3 linked regions of the Cricetulus griseus genome follow. The protein of the gene in region 2 interacts with the protein of the main gene of each other region in a pairwise test. Links are inferred from orthologs where the notes say so. Each region holds a gene or a part of one and is shown on either strand. Other genes may lie near its edges. The genes, in order: Ccm2l, Camk2b and Acot7.

Evidence for each region.
Region 1: the proteins of Camk2b (region 2) and Ccm2l interact in binary tests that used the Homo sapiens proteins (3 or more experiments, as listed by UniProt). The two-hybrid records come from large-scale screens. The link is inferred for Cricetulus griseus from reciprocal best matches to the Homo sapiens genes CAMK2B and CCM2L.
Region 3: the proteins of Camk2b (region 2) and Acot7 interact in binary tests that used the Homo sapiens proteins (3 or more experiments, as listed by UniProt). The two-hybrid records come from large-scale screens. The link is inferred for Cricetulus griseus from reciprocal best matches to the Homo sapiens genes CAMK2B and ACOT7.

What each region holds. Positions count from the first base shown.
Region 1 is NC_048599.1:26,937,079-26,940,724, forward strand, and holds part of Ccm2l (cerebral cavernous malformations 2 protein-like), read right to left. Parts: intron 3,269-3,646; coding exon 3,101-3,268; intron 1-3,100.
Region 2 is NW_023276807.1:98,786,889-98,790,634, forward strand, and holds the start of Camk2b (calcium/calmodulin-dependent protein kinase type II subunit beta), read left to right. Parts: upstream 1-1,511; coding exon 1,512-1,576; intron 1,577-3,746. UniProt on the Homo sapiens protein: Calcium/calmodulin-dependent protein kinase that functions autonomously after Ca(2+)/calmodulin-binding and autophosphorylation, and is involved in dendritic spine and synapse formation, neuronal plasticity and regulation of sarcoplasmic reticulum Ca(2+) transport in skeletal muscle.
Region 3 is NC_048595.1:4,109,246-4,112,891, forward strand, and holds part of Acot7 (cytosolic acyl coenzyme A thioester hydrolase), read right to left. Parts: intron 2,095-3,646; coding exon of another isoform or gene 2,030-2,094; intron 825-2,029; coding exon 640-824; intron 1-639. UniProt on the Homo sapiens protein: Catalyzes the hydrolysis of acyl-CoAs into free fatty acids and coenzyme A (CoASH), regulating their respective intracellular levels.

The sequences.
Region 1 (3,646 bases), on a different chromosome or scaffold from region 2:
ACTCTCACTGGCAAATTCATCTATCCTGCTGCAGAGGCATTTCTTCTATAGTATTAGATCCTGATTCTTCAGGACTTCCTCAAAGACTGAAGACCAGTTGAGACTCATAAACTGAACAACTATCAGATTCTTGGCTTTTCTGTTACAAGACTGTCATTGCTGAACTGGATGGAACATAGCCTGTAAGTCACTCTAATCAATCTCTCTCTCTCTCTCTCTCTCTCTCTCTCTCTCTCTCTCTCTCTCTCTCTCTCTCATTCTTATTCCTCTAAAGAACCTTGACTAATATAACCTTGTAGCTAGGACTAGTTCTGAGTTTACAGATATGTATATACACATATGTACATTTTCTCTCATCCACTCACCCTTGCTTTCAATATTAAAAGGCTGAACACAGTATAGCTAACTAAAAGTCTGGCCCAGGACTATAGCAAGAAAGGGTAAGACTGGCCAGGTTGTAGTGGTGCATGCTAATCCAGTACTTGGGAGTTGGAAGCAGGAACTTTAAGAGTCCAAGGTCATCCTTGGGTACATAGCAAGTTCAAGACCTCCCTGGGTGACATCAGGCTCTGTGGGGTAGAGAGAAGGCTTGATTGATTACATGTGCCAGAGCCCACATTCCAACAGCTAGCTGATACGCACTAACACATGGCCATCTCACTCTATGAGGTTCTGCAGGAAGCAAAAGTCACTAATTTAGTGCCCGCCGCCCAACTGCCATGCTGGAGATCAGGTTTGGAGTGTCTCTGCATGCTAGGCCAGACTCTGCCATTTTTCATGTTTATGTGTGTGCATGTTCCTGTGAGTGAGTGCAGGCATATGCCACAGCACCTGTGTGGAAGTCAGGGGATGCGCACTGCCTTCCACATTGTCGGAGGCGGTGTGTGTGTGTGTGTGTGTGTGTGTGTGTGTGTGTGTGTGCGCGCTCTCAGGGATTCTCCGTCTCCACCTCCCATCTCAACTGTGTGGGTCTTTTAGGGTCACAGGTGCATGTTTTGTGTGCACCTGATTTTGCAGGGGGTTGGGGATTTTCACCTGGGTCCTCAAATTAGCCAGCAAGCGATTTACCCATTGAACCATTCATTCCTCTCTCTACACCTGCCCCCAGACTCTACTATTAAATCTTGAAGGAAGCCTGGGAGTTTTCTTGCCCAATGGCTCCCTGAACCCCACACATTATTAATCCTTTTAACAACCACATTGTAGATTAAATGGAAAGAAGCATTGAATTAATATATCATTTCTTTCAAAAAAAATGATGCCCTCTTGTCAGGAGGTGGAGGCAGAGGCAGGTGGATCTCTGTGAGTTCGAGGCCAGGCTGGTCTACAGAGTAAGTTCCAGGATAGCCAGGGCTACACAGTGAAGCCCTGTCTCAATCAAACAAACAATAAAGGTAATAAAAATCTTTATTGTGGGAGTTGCCAACCAATGACTGCTCTAGCCTGAGACCCACATCACAAGAGGGAGCCCATGCCCAACACTGCCGGGATAGCCAGGAACCTTAAGCTGGATGACTCAGAGTACTAGGATAGAACCAAACAAAACTGACGGAAAAAAAAAAAGTCAATTGATTCCTAATGCTGTTCTGCTATACTCATATATCAGTGTCTAGCCCAATCACCATCAGACAGGCTTCTTCTGGCAGCTGATGGGAACAGATGTAGAGACCCACAACCAAACTTTGGGCAGAGCTCAGGGAACCCCATGGAAAAGGGAGAGGAAGGATTGTAGGAGCCAGAGGGGTCAAGAACACCACAAGAGCACAGCCCACAGAATCAACTAATCAGAGTTCACAGGTGCTCACAGAGACTGAAGCAGCAATCACAGAGCCTGCAGGGGGCTGCCCCAGGACTCTGTGCACATGCTGTGGGTTGTTTAGATTGGGGTTTTTGTGGGACTCTTAACAGTAAGAGTGAGGGTGCCTTTGACTCTTTTGATTGCTCTTGGGACCCTTTTCCTCCTTCCGTGTTGCCTCGTCCAGCCTTGATACCAGGGTTTGTGTCTAGTCTTAATGCATCTTACGCTGTGTTTGTTTAATACCCCTGGGAGGCCTGTTCTTTTCTGAGGTGAAACAGAGGAGCAGTGGATCTGAGGGAGAGGAGAGGTAGGGGAGGAGGGAACTGGAGGATTGAAGGAAGCGGGGGTTGTGATAAGGATGTATTATATGAGAGAAGAATAAACAAAAAGAAAAAGATGATGCTCTCAGTCAGCCTGTGGTTCCCCACCCATTCTGTTATAGCAGCATTATCATTTAAATGTTATTATTCAGTATAAGAATTAACTTTTTGTTACTTTAAATTGCAGTTTTCTGGGCAAATCTCACCACTCACATCTTTTCTTTTTATTCTGTAATTTTTTAGCTCTTGGTTTTTAAACATATTCATTTTCTGGTTTTTCTCTATTTATAGGATTGCCAGATAAAACACAAGATGTCAGTTAAACAACAATTTTGTTTTTAAGCTCTTTTTTTTTTGTATTTTTAGTTCCATTTAACATTTGGAGCATACTTATGCGAAAGAAATAATCATTGCTTATCTGCAATTTAAATTTGATTAGGTAGCCTGTTTGTTAAATGCCCTAATCCTACCTCACACCAATCTTTGGCTGATGAGGACCTGTTTCCCTCCCTAGTGCTCCTTCATGGTGCTTGTGAAATAGAAGTAAAGCTTTTGAGTAGTACGAGAGTCCTCCATTGTGGCTCCTCCCAATACCAGCACCTCAGCCCTGCCTCCTGTACTGGACAGGCAGCCTCCAGAATGCCAGGTGAGTGCTCTACCACTAAGTCACATGCCCAGCCTCTCCCTTGCCTTTAACTTGGACACTGAGTAACCGGAGACTGCAGACAAAAATCTCATGAGTAGGCGGAGCTTTGGGGAACACAGCACAGTTTCCCACTCCGTCTCCTGTGGGGGTAGGTTCTGAGCCCCACATTAGGACAGGAACGCTGGGGGCTCAGTGGGTAGGTGTCACCTGCTGAGGATATGCAGCCTGTGGCTATGAGGTAGGAGGCTGTTCCCCAAGAGTCACAGCTTCCTTCATGTGACACAGGGTGTGTCAGGAGTTGGTGTGAATCCCCCCCCCCCACCTTCTCATGCTCACCTTGACCTCTTTCTCCAGGTAGTCACACAGCAGGATGTGGGGATCGATGAGGTAGTCAGGAGGATAAAGGGGCATAGAATGCAGGGGCCTGCGACTGACATTGCTCCTGAAGGCAGCCTGCCGTGCAGCCTTCGGAAACACCAGCCTTCTGATGGGAGACACAAAGCCCTGGGGGAGACAGGAGAGTTCCAGTAGCAACAGCAGTGGCTTTACTGAGTGCTCGTAAGCTCAGTTCTACTCCCACAACCTAAGTTAATCCTCCTAAAATTGCAGGAGGAGCAGTCTCTGTGGCTCCCCTTTTCTAGCTGAAGCAGCGAAACCCCAGATTGAGAGCTAGGACACCAGCTGGTGACAGTCCAGGTGGGGTATCCCAGTTCCTACACCTCCCTGTGGGGAGGGTGATGTTCCTGCCAGCCAGATTCAAAGAGGATACTTAGGCATCTGTTAAGCTATTGCCTGTTTGTGAGTTAGAAATAAGCAATAAGTAAGTGTAAGTAAAATCGAGAGGCACCAGTATAAAAAGGCCCAGGATGGATCAAGGCTACA
Region 2 (3,746 bases):
TTTCTCTTTCTGCTTGGGTCCTGTTGATGTCAATGCCAGGATTCCTGCTTTCTCAGCTAGACTCTTCTGACTGGGACCTGCACTTGTCCATGCATGTCTCTTGTTCTCTAGCTGTCTGTCTTGTAGTGGAGGCTAGGTTTGGACACTCATAGGAGGAACTTTCCAGGAAGCCTGTTTTCAGCTGGCAGCACTCTGTCAAAGCTGCCTTTTTGGGAAGACCCCTAGCTGCCCAGCAAAAAGCACTCATTTGCTCCTGCATCTAAGACACTTGCTGAGATGCCCTGGGCTTGTCTTTGGTTGAAATCCAAGTCTACCAAAACTCTCGGGGTTCTTGGGGATTAGTAAGTGGAAAGAATCGAGGCAATCTCCTACCAATGCCATCCAAACTGGCTGCAAATTCCCCTCCCCAAATACCAGGAAGAGTCTAGTTGGGGATGCTGGCCGAGGGGAGCTTTGTGGGAATCTGCCTGTACCCTCCTTCCTTCAGAATCTCTTTCAAGAGAGACTGGGAAGAAAGCGAGAAAGAATAGCGGCTTCTCTTCCTGGCCAGAGCAGAGGCAAAGGGCTGGACCAGACTATCTGGGTAACAGGAATCTGTGACAGAGCAGAGCAGCCCCTGTTTTGCTGACTCCAAGGCCCCACCTGGACTCCAACTGTTCACCTCAGGACAGAAGACACCTTAGTCACCAATCCCAGGAGAAGCAGGGAAGAGGCTTGGGACCACTGCCAGCAAGCTCTATCCTCTCCCCCTCATCCCATTCCGCCTAGGAGACTCATGGGCAGCTCTGCCAGGCCAGGCAGGAAGGGTCTGGCAGCATCTTGTGGGGGTACGGGGAACGGAAGAGCCCAGTGGAGGGCAATACACGACCCTTCCCAAGTGGGGTGCAGTTCCCTCTTGCTGTTTAGAAGAGTCTGGGTTCACTGTTCAACTGCAGTAGCGTAAGAGCCGGCCCAGTGGCTTGTCGGTGCAGGGCTCGAGCCTAGAGGGGCAGACGCAGTGCGTGGGCACCGCGTGGTGCAGTCCATGTGCTGGGACAGGGCGCGGGCACGGGTGGGATTGCATGGTGCGGGCGCAGTGCGGGTGCTGGCGCGGGCGCGACGAGTGTGCGAATGGAGCCGCGGTGCGGGTGCAGGGTGCGGGCGCAGTGCGCGTGCAGGCGCGGGTGCTAGTGCAGGTACAAGGCGCAGATGCGGTGCGTGTGCGGGTACAGGCGTGTGTAGGGTGCGGGTGAGGCGCGTGCAAGGGGCGGCGGGCGGGGCGGGCGCGGCGGCGACAGCGGCGCCCGCGCCTCTGCGCGCGTAGGTGTGCGGCGCGCTCCTGGCGGGGACAGAGCGAGCAGATCTCGCGTGCGCTCGCCGCCCGGCGCAGCCCAGCCCGGCCCCCGCCCGGCGCCGCGAGCCGAGGTGTCTCCCGCGCCCGCGCCCGTGTCGCCGCCGTGCCCGCGAGCGGGAGTCGGAGTCGCCGCCGCCCGAGCGCAGCCGAGCGCACGCCGAGCCCGATCGCCGCCGCCATGGCCACCACGGTGACCTGCACCCGTTTCACCGACGAGTACCAGCTATACGAGGATATTGGCAAGTAAGAGCCTTGGCGCGCACCGGCTGTCCGCAGATCCCTGGGAGCGGGGACCCCATCGCCGCCGGCTCCGCGCGCACTGCGGCCCCGCGCGCCCCCGGCTCCCTCGGGCTGCGGGCCCAAGCTCACTGCCCCGTGCCACCCGGACCCCCAGCCTCGGGTTCTGGGTCCCCGCTGCCCCACCGCAGCGTGTACGGCTCTGCCCCATGCCATAGCTTGACAGGGACCGAGACTCGGGGATCTGGACTCGGCGTGGCGGGGGCGGCAGCAGGTGTCCCCCGAGCGCCGGGCAGACGTGACGCATTTGGCGGCGGGGAGGTCAGAGACGAGCGGCACGCGGGGACGGCTGCCAGGCCTAGAGTGCCCGAGGGGTCGGCCATGGCCTCAGGGGGTCGTCCCCGGTGTGGGCGAGCTGTCCTCACCCCCACCCGAGCGGCGGGCGGCAGCGGTGGCGGACCCGCTCCGCGCCTGCTCCTCGCGTGGCCCCATCTGCTCTGGGGGAGCAGCGTGGGAGCAGCTTCTGCCTTGGGTCCCTTGGGGAATCTGGGTTCTGGAGGATTTTTTCCCCCAGATTCTTCTGGAAACAAGAATTTGGAGGGGGTGGACGAGGTCAGAGAGCCAGGATCAGGCCATGGGGTGGGGGTGAGCGAGTGAATCCAGGAACCAGTTGGGCCTCCGATTTCAGGGTCATCGAGGCAGACAGAGGTTGGCTTCTGAACCGTTTTATTTTATTTAATTTTAATTTTATTTTCTGCTGTGATTGGAGGGCTGGGGAAGGGACTCTGAAGGCGTATTTCGGGTAGGGCCTCGTGGGGAACAGGTGCCCTGGCGCCAAGACGCTGCCCCGCAGCATGAGCATAAGGGGAGGAAGCTATAGTTAAAGCGTCCAGACCTGCCTTTGCCCCTGGGGTCGCCGAAACACCAAAGCCCCCAGGGGCCTCGTGTCAGGCCTGGAGCTTCCCTCTGTGATTTAAGGTGACTGCAGGGGCATCCTTAGGTACTAGCTGCATAACTCCAGAGCTGGGTCCTCCTTCCCACTCCCTCTCCCCTCCCCCATCCCTCCTGCACCGTGGGGGCGCTGGCGAGATTTCCTCTTACACATCCAGCCGCAAATCCTTTTTTTCCCTTTACTAAAAAAGCGTCTGAAAGCTGTGGTGGGCGAGGGACGCTGATCATTGATAATTGTGGAGTGCCCAGCTGGAGGAGTGTGGGGGTGTGTGCATTCCCCACTTCTAACTGCACGTGCCCAGAAGATTTGGGTCAGGCCTGGGGGAGGGGGGGTAGAGTGGCAGGAGGAAGCCTATGCTGGATTGCAAGGACCTAGGCTGGGTGGACTTGAATAGCTGTCTCAGCACCCCTTCTTCAGTTCCTGTCATACTTGGAGTCATTGAAGAAGCTTCCAGTAGCCGGTGGGGGCTGTGCTCTGAGAGGAAGAGGTGATGGGCTGGGAGCCCTCAGATGGGGGTGAGGCAGCCTCGAGGTTGGGAGCAGTCCTTCAGGCCTTCTTGATGCTTTTGAAGAGGGCTCTTCCCAGCTAGGGGCCCATCTCCTCCACAGCTGCTTCTTATGCTGCCAGGGCAGGTGGCAGTAGTCAAAACAGAGCAGTGGGAAGTCTTTGCTTCGGAGGGAACCTTCTTGTCACCTTCTCCTGTGTGCCCAGGAGCCTGTATCCCTCCCTGGGCCTCTTGGTATCTTCCAAGGAGTCCGTGTCAAGAGACCATAACCTCCAGATCACCTAGCTGGTCTGCTTTTGCACCTTGGAGCAAGCTGTCCTGTCTGTGCTGAACAGCAGCATGAGGTGGCCGCTGCCACCCCCGCTGGGGAGTTGAAACTGAAGGGTGGCATTTGCAGTAGACACAGGTGAGGACTGAAACTGCCAGCTCTTCCCTAGGTACAAAAGAATAAGCCCCTCACCCAAGTGTAGAGAAACCACACAGGTGCCAGGGTGAGACCCCAAGCTTGGTGTGGAGGGGCCAGCTAGTCAGGAGTGGTCAGCTCAGCCCAGCATACCTTTTGTGGAGACTGCTGGATACCAGGCTCCAGGCATGGTCAGGAGAGTGGTGAAGGGCCTTACCATGCCCACCTCCACTGACTACGAGTCTGATCCACCAACTCTGGCTTTGGCAGGTAGGAAATGATGACAAGTTTACCCTCAGGATAAACAGTGAGACTA
Region 3 (3,646 bases), on a different chromosome or scaffold from region 2:
GGACACATACTGTGCTTGTCACCCTGCACAGATGAGGAGTCGGAGGCACACAGATGGCCAGTGGGCTAACCCTGTCCTCATCTGACTGAGCCCCTAGTACCATAGAACTGAAGCTTGCTTTGCATCAGGTGACATAAAAGTTCCAATCCATGTTGGGAGGGTGCGCCCCCGGTCCTCCCACCTCTGGGTCCTCCTACTCCTGGGTCCTCCCACCCCTGGGTCCTCCCAGGCCCTCTGATGAGCTGGAGGACACAAGGCTTGAAATGTTTTTCTTTTTTTTTTTTTTTTTTTTTTTTTTTTGGTTTTTCGAGACAGGGTTTCTCTGTGTAGCTTTGGAGCCTATCCTGGCACTTGCTCTGGAGACCAGGCTGGCCTCGAACTCACAGAGATTTGCCTGCCTCTGCCTCCCAAGTGCTGGGATTAAAGGCGTGCACCACCAACTCCCAGTTGGCTTGAAATGTTTCTAAGACATCACTCCAGCACATGAGCACATTGCCAGGAGCTCCAGACAGTGTGCCAGCCATGGTGACTAGCTCAGAGGTCTGACCCATCTGTCCAGCCTATAGCCTACAGCCTACAGGGTGCCTCTTCTCAAGACTTCATTAGACCTAAGGGCAGCCCATGGTTTAGGACACTCACCACAAGCTGAGGTACAGGCAGCGGCTTGCCCTCCTGGTTCAGGGATACATAGGTGAAGAAGGCACTGGCGGCCCGGTATCGCTTCTGTGAGTTGTCCACCACAGGGTCAGCATCCACCAGGACCTCAATCTCCATGGACTTGTTGCTCGTGAAGGTCATGCGTCCAGAGATGGTGACGACGCAGCCTGCAGAGTACATGCAGCCACTGCGTTAGCGGTGCCAGCCCAGTCTGTACCCATGGGGCGCCAAGTAGGCAGGGGCAGGTCAGTGAGAAACCCATGTTACTGAGGACGGTTAAGACAATGGGTTAGGCGACACAGGCAGTAGCAACTACAAGGACATATGACAACAAACTATTAGTGTGGCCATTGTTAGTCAAGGTGAGTCATCTGTGTCCTGAGCAGACACTCAGTGCTGCCCCAGCAGTTGTGGCAGCCACCACTGGGTCTGGGCCTCCTGACATAGGGCCAGGACGGGCAGGTTGTCAGCCAGGCTGTGGGTGAGCTTGCTCAGCTCTGCCTCAGGTGAAGGTCAAACACACTGCCCTCCCTGTCCTCCAGGGCAGGGTGGTGTCCCCTGGCCACACAGCTGCCCCACTGTGATGTTCTGAGCACCAGGGAGGAATATCCAGAGGCTCACAATCTTTATGCTGGATTGACATAAGCCATGACGCTAAGCTTTTGGTGGGGTCATGCGTCTGTCTGTCAGGTTTGCTCAAGTTTCACCCTCTGAGCTGTTGGACAGTGTGCTGGGATTGTACCCAGGTCACCTCTTCTCAGCACCAACATGGTGTCAGGTGGTTGTGACCTCAGTGCAGTGCCAGTGTCTCTGTAAACGCCCGAGTGACGTCTACGTCAACACACACCACCAAACCCTGGGGCACATGGTACTTCAGTCTGCCTTCTGCTTCCAGGCTTCATGCCTCTTCCCTGCCACCACCCAACCCCTCCACCCTACCCCTCCACGGCCGGGCCTTGCCCCTCTCAACCCTTGGCAGTTTCTGGTCTCAGGGTGCTCACTTCTGCTCTTGTAAATGGACACAAGAGAACCTGACCTTCAGGGAACGGTGAGAAGAAAGACAACAGAAGAGGGCCTAGTCTAGTGCTTGCCGAGGGTCATGACTCCCATCTGTCATGGGTTTGGCCTGTGGGGGCTTTGGCTGCTGCCACTTCTGACTGATGTGTGACCAGAACCCTCCTCCCATCTCCAGCAAAGTCTTCTCCTGGACCAGGCCACATGGGTCACAGGGTCTACTCAGCAGGGACCAGTGCTGGCTGCGGGGCCCTACAACACATATCTAGCATCCTAGCTTGCAGACAGGCCCTGCAGGACACACTGAGACAGCCAGAGAGAGACAGTAAAGGCAGCAGGGCTTTCTGCTAACAAGTACCAGAGAGCTCCAATCCGCGTTCACCTTCATACTCACAGAGGGCTTCAGTGCAGACATGGCCATTTCTGGGAGGGAGGGAAGGAAGGAAGGAGCCAGGTGGTCAGCGACAGGCCGCCTCATACAAGCTGTATTGCTCAGTCACATGCAAGCATCTGACAGTGAACACACCTGTGACAGCCACATCCTGGGACCGTCACCAGCTTAGACTGGTCGCCCCAGATCTTGCAGTGATTCTGCCCTCTCCTAAACGCCCACTGAGAACTGGGCTGTAGGGTGAGACATGGGACAAGAGGAAGCCAGCAAGATGTCCCCAAAGTCCAAGGGTCATACGAGGGCCCACTGTGTGAAGGGCCAGCTATCGCACACTGCTATGAGAGGCAAATTCCAGGTTCTCCAAACACACTATGAATCCCAAAGGACAAAGGGAAATGTGTGCTTCTGTTGCCAACCACGAAACCCATTTCTTGCCATGGACCACAGCAAGGCCATGGCTGCTCATGGTTTAACATCGGAGCCTGGAAGTTCAGTATCTAACTCCAAGTTTAAGTCCAGAGGACCAGCAGATGGGAAGGTCTGGAGAGTCAGGGATGCCATCAACACAACGAACACCCCAAACCCAGGAGAGCCACATCACATGTCACACACAAGCCTCGGGGGATCCCCACAGACACAGGAATCCACTAGCTGGCACCCGACTGGTCACTTCGATAACAGGATGACACAGATAGCCAAGCCAAAAATCCTCAGCCCCAGTGACAGAGAGCCACAGAGCATCACCCAGGCCCTGCAGGCTCAAGGCCTGCCTGGAGAACCAGATCTAACCAGGTGGGGAGAGGCAGCCTACAGGTGGTCTAAACCGTGAGATGTTCCTGCTCTGACCTCTACCTTCCATACCCCATGGTGGCCTTCCCCTGCCCACACTTCTTCCTACAATGGCAGCTTGTTCACCCTCGGTCTCTTCTCTAGAGATGCTGCCAAGAACGGTCCACCTCCTCCTCCACGGCACTCCTTCTAATTAATCTTCATGTGCCATTGCAGATCTGGCCAAAGCCTACATGGCTCCCAGTCTGGAAACCCTAAAGGCAAAGCAGGGGTCCCCATTATGTGGTGAGTAAACATAGAGACCCACGGGCAGTGGACTATAGAGACCTAGCACCCTACTCGGGAGCCCGAGACCCTGGTTTACTCTGGAGGAGAACTCACTGGCCAGGCCTGAATCGAGTGCTTCAGAAGCGTGGCGCTGACCTCCGTCAAACACTGCTGACCAATGCTTCCTCCCAACTCAAAGGCTACCCTGTGAATGGCTGCCCTAGAATCTCTCAACCTCTTCCTCACCTGCCGCTCCTCAGAAGAAGCAGGGCACTTCACACTCTGCCATTCCATAGGCACCCAGAACGTCCAGGCACACTGAGATGAAGAGAACAAACAACGAGTGTCTCGGTTCACAGTGACCCACGTGGTTACAGATAGGTGTGGGCACGTTAGAAGTCTCTGATCCATCAGTGGCATCTTAAGCCAGTGGAGAAGCAGGTCAGCCCCAGTGCCCCAGCAGCTCCTACAGCTCTGACCCTCTGTCTAGGGTGGTGGCCTGATGGGTATGTAAGCACCACCGCTAAT